Cricetulus griseus: one gene and its partners. The protein of the gene in region 1 interacts with the protein of each later gene in a biochemical or structural test. Links are inferred from orthologs where the notes say so. Each region holds a gene or a part of one and is shown on either strand. Other genes may lie near its edges. The genes, in order: Srpk2, Rbm15 and Luc7l.

What was found.
Region 2: of the proteins of Srpk2 (region 1) and Rbm15, one has a biochemical effect on the other in vitro, tested with the Homo sapiens proteins (2 studies listed by BioGRID and IntAct). The link is inferred for Cricetulus griseus from reciprocal best matches to the Homo sapiens genes SRPK2 and RBM15.
Region 3: of the proteins of Srpk2 (region 1) and Luc7l, one has a biochemical effect on the other in vitro, tested with the Homo sapiens proteins (2 studies listed by BioGRID and IntAct). The link is inferred for Cricetulus griseus from reciprocal best matches to the Homo sapiens genes SRPK2 and LUC7L.

The regions. Positions count from the first base shown.
Region 1 is NW_023276806.1:170,914,283-170,918,580, forward strand, and holds the start of Srpk2 (SRSF protein kinase 2), read left to right. Parts: upstream 1-1,496; 5' UTR 1,497-1,510; coding exon 1,511-1,526; intron 1,527-1,609; coding exon of another isoform or gene 1,610-1,664; intron 1,665-4,298. UniProt on the Homo sapiens protein: Serine/arginine-rich protein-specific kinase which specifically phosphorylates its substrates at serine residues located in regions rich in arginine/serine dipeptides, known as RS domains and is involved in the phosphorylation of SR splicing factors and the regulation of splicing.
Region 2 is NW_023276806.1:49,816,723-49,820,369, forward strand, and holds part of Rbm15 (RNA-binding protein 15), read left to right. Parts: coding exon 1-889; intron 890-3,647. UniProt on the Homo sapiens protein: RNA-binding protein that acts as a key regulator of N6-methyladenosine (m6A) methylation of RNAs, thereby regulating different processes, such as hematopoietic cell homeostasis, alternative splicing of mRNAs and X chromosome inactivation mediated by Xist RNA.
Region 3 is NC_048600.1:45,892,786-45,896,432, reverse strand, and holds part of Luc7l (putative RNA-binding protein Luc7-like 1), read right to left. Parts: intron 323-3,647; coding exon 146-322; intron 1-145. UniProt on the Homo sapiens protein: May bind to RNA via its Arg/Ser-rich domain.

The DNA of each region.
Region 1 (4,298 bases):
GGAATATTTAAGAAACGGGAACAATGGCTTGTACGTTATATATTCTGGTTATGTAGAAAAATATCTTTGTTCCTAGTAGACAGGCAATGTACAAACTACTGAATGATTCTGCAAAATAAACCATGCACACACTTAGAAGCAGATGGAAAGAAATGTTAAAAAAAAATGAATGTGGGTTAATAGCGTCCATTACTGCATTTTTCTCGTATTTTGTCCAGGAAATTGCGCTATAGACCAGGCAGGCCTCGAACTCACAGAGATCCACCTGCCTCTGCTTGTGCCTCTAGAATGCTGGGGTTAAAGGTGTGCGGCACCACCGCTCCGCTGTTTGATATTTTTTTTTTAGAATAAAAAAATGGAAAAAGTACATTCTCTTCAAACTCAAAGCAGCCTTTCGTGTTTGGACATTTTTAGAATAATACTCAATGATACAATTGTAACCAAAGGAGGTCTGAATGCTCAGGGCGTGTTATCTGTGAAAGATACTGTAACTGTTTAAAGAGCCCAAGAGAACACTGAGGTAAAAGCTATGTGCCAGTCAGCTTGATTCACATCCTGGGTAGCCTGGGAAGATGGAAAGAGAAACTAGCCAGGCGTGAATAAGGATAGGGTCTGGTAGTACTGTTCGACCTATTTCGGGTTGTTTCCCCATTGTAGGAGGAAGAAAAAAGCACTGCTTAGCATGATTTTTGTTTTAAGCTCTCATCTCACGGTATTTAGAAAACTGGGCTTCATGCGCCAAACTTTCCTTTCAAGCTATACGCATCTTTTCCTTCATTAACCTCACGCAGTCCTGTGGGAGTAGGAACAGGAGAGAGGCAATCACTTCTCCAAGGTCACCACACACTCAAGGACCTAGGTTCTCCGGCTCTTGTGCCCTTTCCACGCTCGCCAGAGAGGAGGAAGCTGCGCTCATGGGGATGCAGGGGTGCAGAGGCGTAGAGGGCGAGAAGAAGCCGCGGGAAGAGAGGTGGCGTGAGCACCGCGGAGGCGCGGGCGGAGGACAGGCGCGCGGAGGGGCGTGCGGCACGACCCGCCCGGGTGCGGAGCGAGGCGGGGCTGGGAGGAAGGGTCGCTCGGCTGGGCCCGGTGCTCAGGGGCCGGCGGCCTGCGGCGGAGGAGGCGCCCCGTGGGAGGCGGGGAGCGGGAGGCGGCGGCTGCTCGCTCGCTCGCCCGCCCGCTCCCCCGCTTTGGCACCCAGGCCGGCCGCAGGGCTGGCGGGCGCTGCGCCCCCCGGGGCGCGGCGGGGTCCCGACCCCTAGACACCGGAGGCGCGGTGGGAGCGCGGAGGGGGCGGGGCCGCGGGCGGGGCCGCGGGGGCGGGTCCCATTGGCCTCCGCGGGAGCGGCCACGGCGGCGCAGGCGCGGTTCCCGCCTCCTCCGGCCGGCGAGCGAGTGGAAGCTGCATCCCGGTGCGGCTGGCTGTCGCTGGTTGTCGCGCCGCCGCCGCCGCCGCCGCGCCGCCGCCCGCCCGCCCCTCCCCCCGGCCCCTCGGCTGCCCCGAGTCGGAATGAGCTCCAGGAAAGGTGAGCGGCGCGCGCGGCCCCTGCCCCGCCTCGCGGCCCGCAGGCGGCCGGCCGGACCGTTAATGTGTCTTCTCTCTCCTCAGTGCTGGCCATTCAGGCCCGAAAGCGGAGGCCGAAAAGAGAGAAACATCCGAAAAAGTGAGTCCGCGCGGCGCTCGGGCCCGGCCCCGCCCCGCCCCGCCCCGCCCCGCAGCGCCGAGGGCTGCTTGCGGCCGAGCTCCCCGGTCCCCGGTCCCCGGTCCCCGGGCCGCGGGCGGCGGGTCTCCTGGGACGCGGCGCCGGCTCTGCGCGCCCCAGCGAGGGAGGAGGGAGGAGGGAGGAGGGGGAGGGGCGCGCGGCCGCGGGTTCCGGAGCTGCGACCTGGCCCAGCGGCCTGCGAGCCTCACGCGCCCGAGCCACACCCGCGATCCGTACCCGGGTCCTGGTCCTGCGTCGCTCGGATGGGGAGCGAGCGGGCGGGCGAGCGGGCGAGCCAGGGAGGCGGCGGCGGCGGCGGCGGCGGCGGCGGCGGCGCGCTGACACCTGGGCGGAGGGAGCCAGCGCATAGCCGCCGCCGCGCGCCGCCGCCGCTGCCACCCCCGGCTCCCGTGTCGGCCATCGGGCCATCCAGCTTGTCAAGTGGTTTGGCCTCGGGCGCGTTCCTAGCGCGACTTCAGCTCCGGGACCGGTGCGTTTTCGGCTGTCGGATTTTTCATTCGAAACTTTGTGCTCGGGTCGAGCGTTACTTGCGCGCTGCTGCTGCGCCCAGGTCGCTCGCTGCAGCGGGCGGTGGGCGTGTGCGCGGGCGCGTCCCGCGTGGTGCTCCGGACTGCATCCTTCGGCTGGTGATATTTCAAATGTGCCAGCTCCAGCCACGTCCCGGTTGGGCGGCAGCTGCTGAAGAAGCCTTTCGCGGCGAGCTAGGTGCTCCGAGGCTTCCGAGCGCCGCCAAATGTGCCTTTTTCCTCCTGGGTTTGCCGGACCAGCGTTCAACATCTTTGCTCACGTTCACGTTGGTTGCTTCGTTCTTTTTGCGCAAGAAATTTGTGTGTGGTATCTTTAAAACTATTGAAGAAAAACAGAATCGCCTTTAGTAAAATCCGAAGTACTGTCTAGCTTTATTTTGCAAGGGTTGAGCAAAGGTTGCTCTATCCCCTAGGTGGTGGTTGTTGGCCCTAGTCTCAGCCTAGAGGATTTCCCACTCATTCGGTGGCATCTAGGAAAACTGGGAGTCATTGCTAATATGAAAGTGTTTTACAGTAGGATTGTCTTCATTCAAAATTGAATAAGATGTGGATATCTATGTAAATTTTTTTTTTAACTTAGGAGGCAAAACACTTGAAAACTGGAAGGTAAAAGTTGAAAATAAGAAAAAAGCTTTTGTGTTTGGATTTGGGGTGTGTACGAGCCCTGACACCTGTGGAAGTCAAGGAACAACTTTCAAGAGTTGATTCTCTACTATGTGTGGGACCCAGGGATCAAACTCCCGATGTCAGGCATGGTGGCGAGCACCTCTACCCTCTGAACCATCTCCCTGGGCATATACGGGGTATTTAAAATATTGAAACCCAGTGAAGGCTTCTGATAGTTTGATGCATTCTAAAAACTAGCGCTATTGCTGGGCTATGGTGGCACATGCCTTTAATCCTAGCACCCTCAAGGCAGAGGCAGGTGGAGCTCTTTGAGTTCAAGGCCAGCCTGATCCACAGAGTGAGTTCCAGGACAGCTAGGGCTACACAGAGAAACCCTGTCTCAGGACAGAAAAAAAAAAATCTGAAAGGAGTTGACAAAGCATGACTCAACTTTTTAGGATAGCTCTTTGTGTATAAGTGTACATTTATTTATGTGCATATTACATGTTCACATAGAAAAAGCATTTTTAATTGAGTGAGCATGTATTTCATTATTTTCCTGTTTTAGGATGTTTCATAATGGTCAAGGATCTTTGCTTTACTATAGCTTGCATTTGTGCTATGTAATGAACTAGGAATAGGAACATAATTTATCTAATCTTATATCACTTTGCCAGTCTCTTCTGTTTTGTACTGAGTTTGAAGGAAAACAATAGCAGTTAATGATGGGATGAACTGGCTTGATGTACAAGGTGTTTATCAGTAAGAACCCAGATCAAATCAGAGATGGTGGGAAGGTATGACTTTTAACTTAGGTTTTTTTAAAAAAAATTATTGTTTTATATAATTGATGGATACAATTATTCATGCATTTGATGCATATTTATATGCCTTAGAAGATGATGGGAAAGCTTTGTACACGACAGTAATACCCCATGAAGCTTAAAATTTTTTTTTTTAAATTTATTTATTAGTTCTAGTTAGGGAACAATCTTGTTTCACATGTAAGTCCCTTCTCCCTCTCCCTCCCCTCACCCCATCCCTCCTCCCCCACCCCCAGCCTACCCCCACCCCATCCACCCACCACTCCCCAGGCAGGGTAGGGCCCTCAACGGGGGCTCTGCAAAGTCCACCAAATCTTCCTGTGCTGGTCCTGGGCCCTTCCCCATGTGTCCAGGGCCAGAGTGTAACCCTTCACATGGGATGGGCTCTCAAAGTCCCTTCTTACACCAGGGAAAAATACTAATCCACCACCAGAGGCTCCCTGGAGTGCAGAGGCCTCCTTATTGACATCCATGTTCAGGGGTCTGGATCAGTCTTGTACTGGCCTCCCAGACAGCATCTGGGGTCGATGTGCTCTCCCTTGTTCAGGCCAATTGTTCCTGTGGGTTTCTCCAACCTGGTACAGACCCCTTTGCTCTTCATTCCTCCCTCTCTTCAA
Region 2 (3,647 bases), about 120 Mb from region 1:
AGTGACCGGCCACGAAAACGTCATTGCACTCCTTCTCCTGACCGAAGTCCAGAACTGAGCAGTAACAGAGATCGCTACAACAGTGACAACGATCGATCTTCTCGTCTTCTTTTGGAAAGGCCCTCTCCAATCAGAGATAGACGGGGCAGTTTGGAGAAGAGCCAGAGTGACAAGCGAGACCGTAAAAACTCTGCATCAGCTGAACGGGATAGGAAGCACCGGACAGCTGCTCCCACAGAGGGAAAAAACCCTCTGAAAAAGGAAGAACGTTCTGATGGCAATGCACCCAGTGCCAGCGCGTCATCATCAAAGCAGAAAGCTCCTTCCCAGAAACAGGATGGAGGGACAGCTCCTGTGGCAGCATCCTCTCCCAAACTCTGTTTGGCTTGGCAGGGCATGCTTCTACTGAAGAACAGCAACTTCCCTTCCAACATGCATCTATTGCAGGGTGACCTCCAAGTTGCTAGCAGTCTACTTGTGGAGGGTTCAACTGGAGGCAAAGTAGCCCAGCTCAAGATCACTCAGCGTCTCCGTTTGGACCAGCCCAAGTTGGATGAAGTAACTCGTCGCATCAAAGTGGCAGGGCCCAATGGTTATGCCATACTTCTGGCTGTACCTGGAAGTTCTGACAGCCGATCCTCCTCTTCGTCAGCTACATCAGACACTGCCACCTCTACACAGAGGCCACTTAGGAACCTTGTGTCCTATTTAAAGCAAAAGCAGGCAGCTGGGGTGATCAGCCTCCCTGTGGGGGGCAACAAAGACAAGGAGAACACAGGGGTTCTTCATGCCTTCCCACCTTGTGAGTTCTCTCAGCAGTTCCTGGATTCCCCTGCCAAGGCACTGGCCAAATCTGAAGAAGATTACCTGGTCATGATCATTGTTCGTGGTGCGTCCTAAAGTCCATGTGTAACTTGTATTTACTATTTTGACATGGTTCCTTGTTTTGTGATATGTAATGGGATACAGCATCAGATAAATTTCTTTCAATTAGTTTAGTTGGTTTTTTTATATATATATTTTTGTAAACCTCCTTAAAATAGATATTGGGGCGATTTAGCTATTATTTTAAGTGAAAGGGATGCCCTGAAGGTAGCAAGAGGATGGATTTGCTTTAATTAGGAATTACTTTTCTTTTTCTTCTGGTATTTTTTTTTTCAGTCTCTTGAGTTTAAAAAAAAATCCTCAAAATGATAAAACCTACAACTTTTAGAATCATAATTTGGAGGAAAGAGCCTTTTGTACTGAAAAAATAGTGTGATTGGTGCATAGATAGTTTCTATACTAGAAGCATTAATCAGGTATTCCAAAGTTCAATTATTTTAATCAGGTATTTGAGTATTTTTCTTATTCCCAGAAAGTTTGCTTGCTTTAACATTTATGTCATTAGTTTTTGAGTTTTGTATCCTGTGTATGTAGCTGTAATTGGTAAAAATTGAGGCTTGTGTTATAAACCATTTACATCTTTAGCTGGTCTGCAAGAAATGAGTAAGTGCTTTTAAAATGAGAAGTTTTTGGTAAGTTAGGTGCACAGTGGTGTTTTTATTGACTTTGAGGGGTACAGCAAATACAGTTTTAATTGTGTATACTTCAAAACCAAAAATTAAGTTTTTTGTATCCATTTAAGAAATTTCTGATTCCAGTAATAGAAAGAACAGCTGTCTGCAGGCTTATAAGTAACTCCCCCCCCACTCCCATGGTCATTAATCAAACATCTGAATTACAGATTTTTTTTAAGGTTATTGTAAAATGCCCTTGATATATTTGAAGAAAATTCCTTCATATTTTATCTTCATATTTAAACCAGAGTAGTGGCATTACATTGTTGACAGTGTTTTGAATATCTTTGAAATTTAATGTCTAGTATTCTAGTATTTTGACTGCTCTCTGGCCTTATAGAGGTTTGAAGTGTCAGTGTTAGAAACCCCTTTTTCTTTTTCTTTTTTTCTTTTTTTTGTTTTTTGTTTGTTTGTTTGTTTGTTTGTTTTTCGAGATAGGGTTTCTCTGTGTAGCTTGGAGCCTATCCTGGCACTCGCTCTGGAGACCAGGCTGGCCTTGAACTCACAGAGATCCGCCTGCCTCTGCCTCCCGAGTGCTGGGATTAAAGGGATGCACCACCAATGCCAGGCTTAGAAAATCCTTTTTTATTTGATTTCTCAGGTGTTTAAAAAAATTAAACACCTGCTCAGAACTCACCCACCCCACCCAAAATAAAAAGCTGAGGATACATGGCATCTGGTACTTAATGAGGGCTTCTGCTACTTAGTATTGTTTGTTTTATGTGCTCTTCTGCCACTATTTGTGATGTCTAAGTCCATTATTAAATATGATTTTCTTCCCCAATTTAAGTACTGAGGATTTCAAGTAGGGTTTGGTATTTAGTTATGATTAGGAACTTGAGTTTTTGGATCATGGTTGTTTTATATTCTGTGAAAGTGACTTACTCAAAGCCTTGCAGAGCCCAACTGTTTTCTTTCTGTTATCAAAGCTGGTAGATTTGAAATAGCATCAATAATAACCCAGAGAAATGTTACATGATTTTAATTTTTCATTGTGACAAGTGTATAATTCATGTCAGTCTGAGAGCCTCATCACCTACTACATCATACTTTTGTTTTTCACTGTTTATAATTTTTATATTAATTTGGAGACTTTTGAGAAAAAGAATGTACTAGGCTTATGAGCACAAGGCCCTTAGTGTGCCTATAGGAAAAATACCTGAAATCTACAACGAAGACTTTGGGTGTCTTTTGTTTCCAAGAACAGTAGTTGGCATGAAATAGACATCTATTCAGAAGCTGATGCGAGTATAGTCAGAGTACGTGGAGTTTAAGTACAGTTTTTAGTTAGGTAGATAGATTTTTTTTCTAGTTTAAATAATTTCACTAGCCATTAACCTTTTAATATTTTTTGGTAAGATAGTTGGGCAAATGATTTTGTTGTTAGAGAGTGAAGTCTGTGACATCTAATTTTACTATTAATCAAATGTGTTGTGATGGTTTTCCTTTTTTAAAAACATTGTTGGTTAACACCTTATTCAAGAGTACCAATTTTTGTTCCATGTTTGAACCCTTATCTGACAATGCTACGTTGTTTTGTTAGATCTGATCAATTAGTGCTTCAGTGTTTTTGAAACAGTGGCTTGATGCCATTTCCAAATATATGTATTATGTAAATTAGTTTGGTGCTTACCTACAAAGTGCCATCATCTTATTTGTGTTGCCCACTCTTGTGCAGGTTCATAATATCTGGCAATTAGCACTTAAACCTTCAGAATTTGATTGAAAGCAGCTTAAAACTGTTTCTAAATCTCATTGGCTGTATCAGAATCCCATATTGGATATTCTTTTAAAACATTATTTTATGCATATGGGTGTTTTGCCTGTATGTATGTCTGTATACCACATGCTCATTGCTCTTCCAGAGGACCCAGGTTTGGTTTCCAGCACCTAATCCTAGGGGATCCAACACCCTCTTCTGGCCTTGGGATACTCATTTTAACAACACATTTTTTTGTTTTTTGTTTTCTTTCTTTAATGACTAGTACTTTAACTTTTTTTTCTTTCTCCTAAAATGAATGGAAAGAAAATTTCTTAAGTATGCTATTTATTAAATATACTGGTAAAAATAAAATTAAGACTTTATTG
Region 3 (3,647 bases), on another chromosome or scaffold:
GTTCCAGGACGGCCAGAACTGTTACACAGAGTAACTGGGTTTAACTGGGTGTAACTTAAAAAACTGCAAGATAAAAAGAAAGGCTAAAGTTAACCACAAGACACAAGACTCCAAAGGCTTCTCCAGAAATAGTATATTAACATACCCTCAACTGATCAAGCTTCTCTCGGATCTGAATGAACCCCAAGTGTAACTTGCCCCCGAAGTGATCTGCAAGACGACGGTCATTGTCATGGAGACCAAGGTAAGCTGAACAAACCTCGCAGACTCGGAGCTTTTGCTGTTGAAAACTGGATGCAGGCATGGAATTTCTATATTCTTCCTATGGGGGGAGAGAGGGATAAAGATGAGGCATTTCAGAACTGTCACAATGTAGACCCCAGGAAAACCTGAAATATAATTAACATTTCACTACATGTTGAAAACTGGATTGTTCAGCTTCAATTTCATTGTTTATTTTAAAAGAACATTTAGAGGGAGGCGGTTTTCCAGGACAGCTAGAGCTACATACAGAAACCCTGTCTTGAGAGAAAACAAAACAAAACAAAAAACAAAGCATAAAAAACCTACATTTATGTGTGTCTTATCAAAAGCAACAAGGAACATTCGAAACATGGAGATAAGAATGACTGTTCTGAGACCAACAGGGAAGACAAGACTTCAAAAGTAAATAAAAACTGGGGCTGGAGAGAGATGGTTCAGCAGTTAGGAGCACTAGATGCTCTTTCAGAAGACCTGGGTTTGGTTCCCAGCATCCACAATGGAAATAACAATCATCTATGACTTCAGTTACAGGATCTCTTCTGGCTTCTGGGAGCACTAAACACACGCAGTGCATCCATATAGGCAAAGCACCCACATACATAAAATATATATATATTTTTGACACAGGGTTTCTCTGTGGCTTTGGAGGCTGTCCTAGAACTAGCTCTTGTAGACCTGGCTGTGCCTCTGCCTCCCAAGTGCTAGGATTAAAGGCCACCACTGTCTAGGCCATAAGATAATTTTCTTAACTTAAAAAAAAAAAAAAAAGTTGGAGCTGGAGAGATGGCTCAGAGGTTAAGAGCACACTGGCTGTTCTTCCAGACGTCCTGAGTTCAATTCCCAGCAACCACATGGTGGCTCACAACCATCTGTAATGAGATATGGTGCCCTCTTCTGGTGTGCAGACATACATGGAAGCAGAATGTTGTATACATAATAAATAAATAAAATCTTAAAAAAAAAAAAAAAGTTGGGCCACAGAGATGTCTCAGAGGTTAAGAGCACTGGCTGCTGTTTTAGAGGACCTGAGTTCAATTTCCAGCAACCACATGGTGGCTCATGTCCATCTACAATGATATCTGGTATCCTCTTCTGGTATGCAGGTATACACGGAGGTAAAATGTTGTATATATAATACATAAATTAATGTTAAAAAAAAAAAAAGAATGTATACTTTGCATTGGGTGGTGGCGGCACAGGCCTTTAATACTCAGGAGGCAGAGGCAGGCGGATCTCTATGAATAAATTTGAGGCCAGCCTGGTCCACAGAGTGAGTTCCAGGACAGCCTCCAAAGCTACACAGAAAAACTGTTTTGGAAAACCAAAAACCAAAAAACCAAACTGCACGAGCAGTATACATTCCCAGCATCATGTCAGGAGGCAGCTCACAACCTCCAATAATTCTAACAAGGGAGATCCATTGCCTTTAGTCCACCTCACCCAACTACACAGATGCACATAAATCCCCACACACATAATTTAAAATACTTATTTCTAAAAAGTAAACAAAAGCTAGCACAGTCACAGCAATTATATCCTGATATACAGGAAATATCTAATGCAGATCTAAAAGATACTTTGAAAGGCCAAATCATTGACACTTTACTTAAAGAAAAAAGTAGCCAATACATAATATGCATCCTTCAGGAACACTAAAATGTTTATTTAACCCGTGTCACCATATATTAAAAACAAGGTTACCAGCCAGGCAGTGGGGGTGCACATCTTTAATCCCAGCACTCCTGAGGCAGAGAGGGCAGGTGGATCTCTGTGAGTTAGAAGACAGCCTGGTCTAGGGGCTGGAGAGATGGCTCAGCCGTTAAAGGCAAAGTTCACAACCAAGAAGACAGCCTGGTCTAAAAGTGACTTCCAGAATACAGAGCTATTAAACAGAGAAACCCTGCCTCGAAAAATGAAAAAACAAACTTAAAAAAAAAAAAAAATAGGTCACCACTACAAAACGATTTAATGTGAAAACCCACCAAGAATTGAGAAACAATAAATGTTCTGTGTAGATAAAATGGAAGCCTATAGCAATTAACTGAGTAAGACCTTGTCTTAGTTACTATTACTAATTAACTAGTGTTACTACTGCTATATGAAACACCAAGACAAAAAACAAGTTGGGAGGAAAGGGTTTATTGTAATTTGGTGTACATTTCCAGAAGCGTACTTTACAGATGTTAACTCATGTGATCCTCTAACCTGTCCTGAGGGACTACAGACATGTGCAGTATAGACTATAGATCTCTTAAGGGCCGGAGATATGGGTTAAGAGCACTGGCTGGCTGCTCTATAAGAGAACCCTGGTTGAACTCCCAGCACCCCAACCATCCAGTCCCAGGGGATCCAATGCCCTTTTCATACCTCTGCAAGCACATGGTATATAAACGGACATGTAAGCAAAACATCCATACATATTAAAAAGTTAATATTCTCATTGTTTAGGCCAGGCTGGTCTGGGATGCAAGATCCTTCTGCCTCAGGCTCTCAAGCCCTGAAATATCTGTTATGGGAAACCATGCCCAGCTTATCATTTTCTTAAAATCAGTTATAGAAATGGAAAGCCAATGAGAACACCACACCTAATCACCAGAAATCAGAAGGGGTTGTGGCTACAAAAGGATCTCTGTATTACTTATTACATATTTTCTTTTAATTGGAGGTTATTAGATTTGTGAGTATGATGTGTGTATGAGTACAATAAAACCAGCAACCTATAGTTACCTCTGAATCCCTGATCCATCGAGAAGCTGCTAGTACCTGCTCCTCTACCAGGGTTTAAGGCATACTGTACGTATATACCTGTAACCAAGAAGGATGCAGAGATCCCTCCTGTCAGGATTCAGGCATTATACTGGCTTGCCCCTGTTACCAGGCAGAATTCTGGTCAGCCCAGGGTTCTATGAGTACTAAGTCTGCACAAAGGTGTATGTAAAGGACCCCTTTAAAAGACAGACCCCCCACCCACTTACACTCTCTTGCCCTCTCCTCTTGCTCTTTTTGCTCTTGCTCTCCTCTCTCTCCCCTCGTCTCTCTCTTCTCCCCCTTTAATAAACTCTATGTGTTCCATTGAGATTATGTATCAGCTAACTTAAACAAAAGAACAACACCTCCTCTCTAGCCTAGGGAGTACTTGGTACAAGAAGGTATCTGAGTCATGACTCATCACCATCACTCATCACTGCCACATTCATGGTGTTTCTATACCCCTAGGGTACAGTCCAAGCACTAGTCCCATAGTTTTTTAGGGTAATTCTATCTAGGCATCTCAGCTATGTTATGAATCTCTTTTATCTCCCCCCCATTATTTTTTTTTTACTTCATTTTACATTCTAACCACAGTTCTCCCTCCCCATCCACTGTCTTTGTCTTTTAAGCTA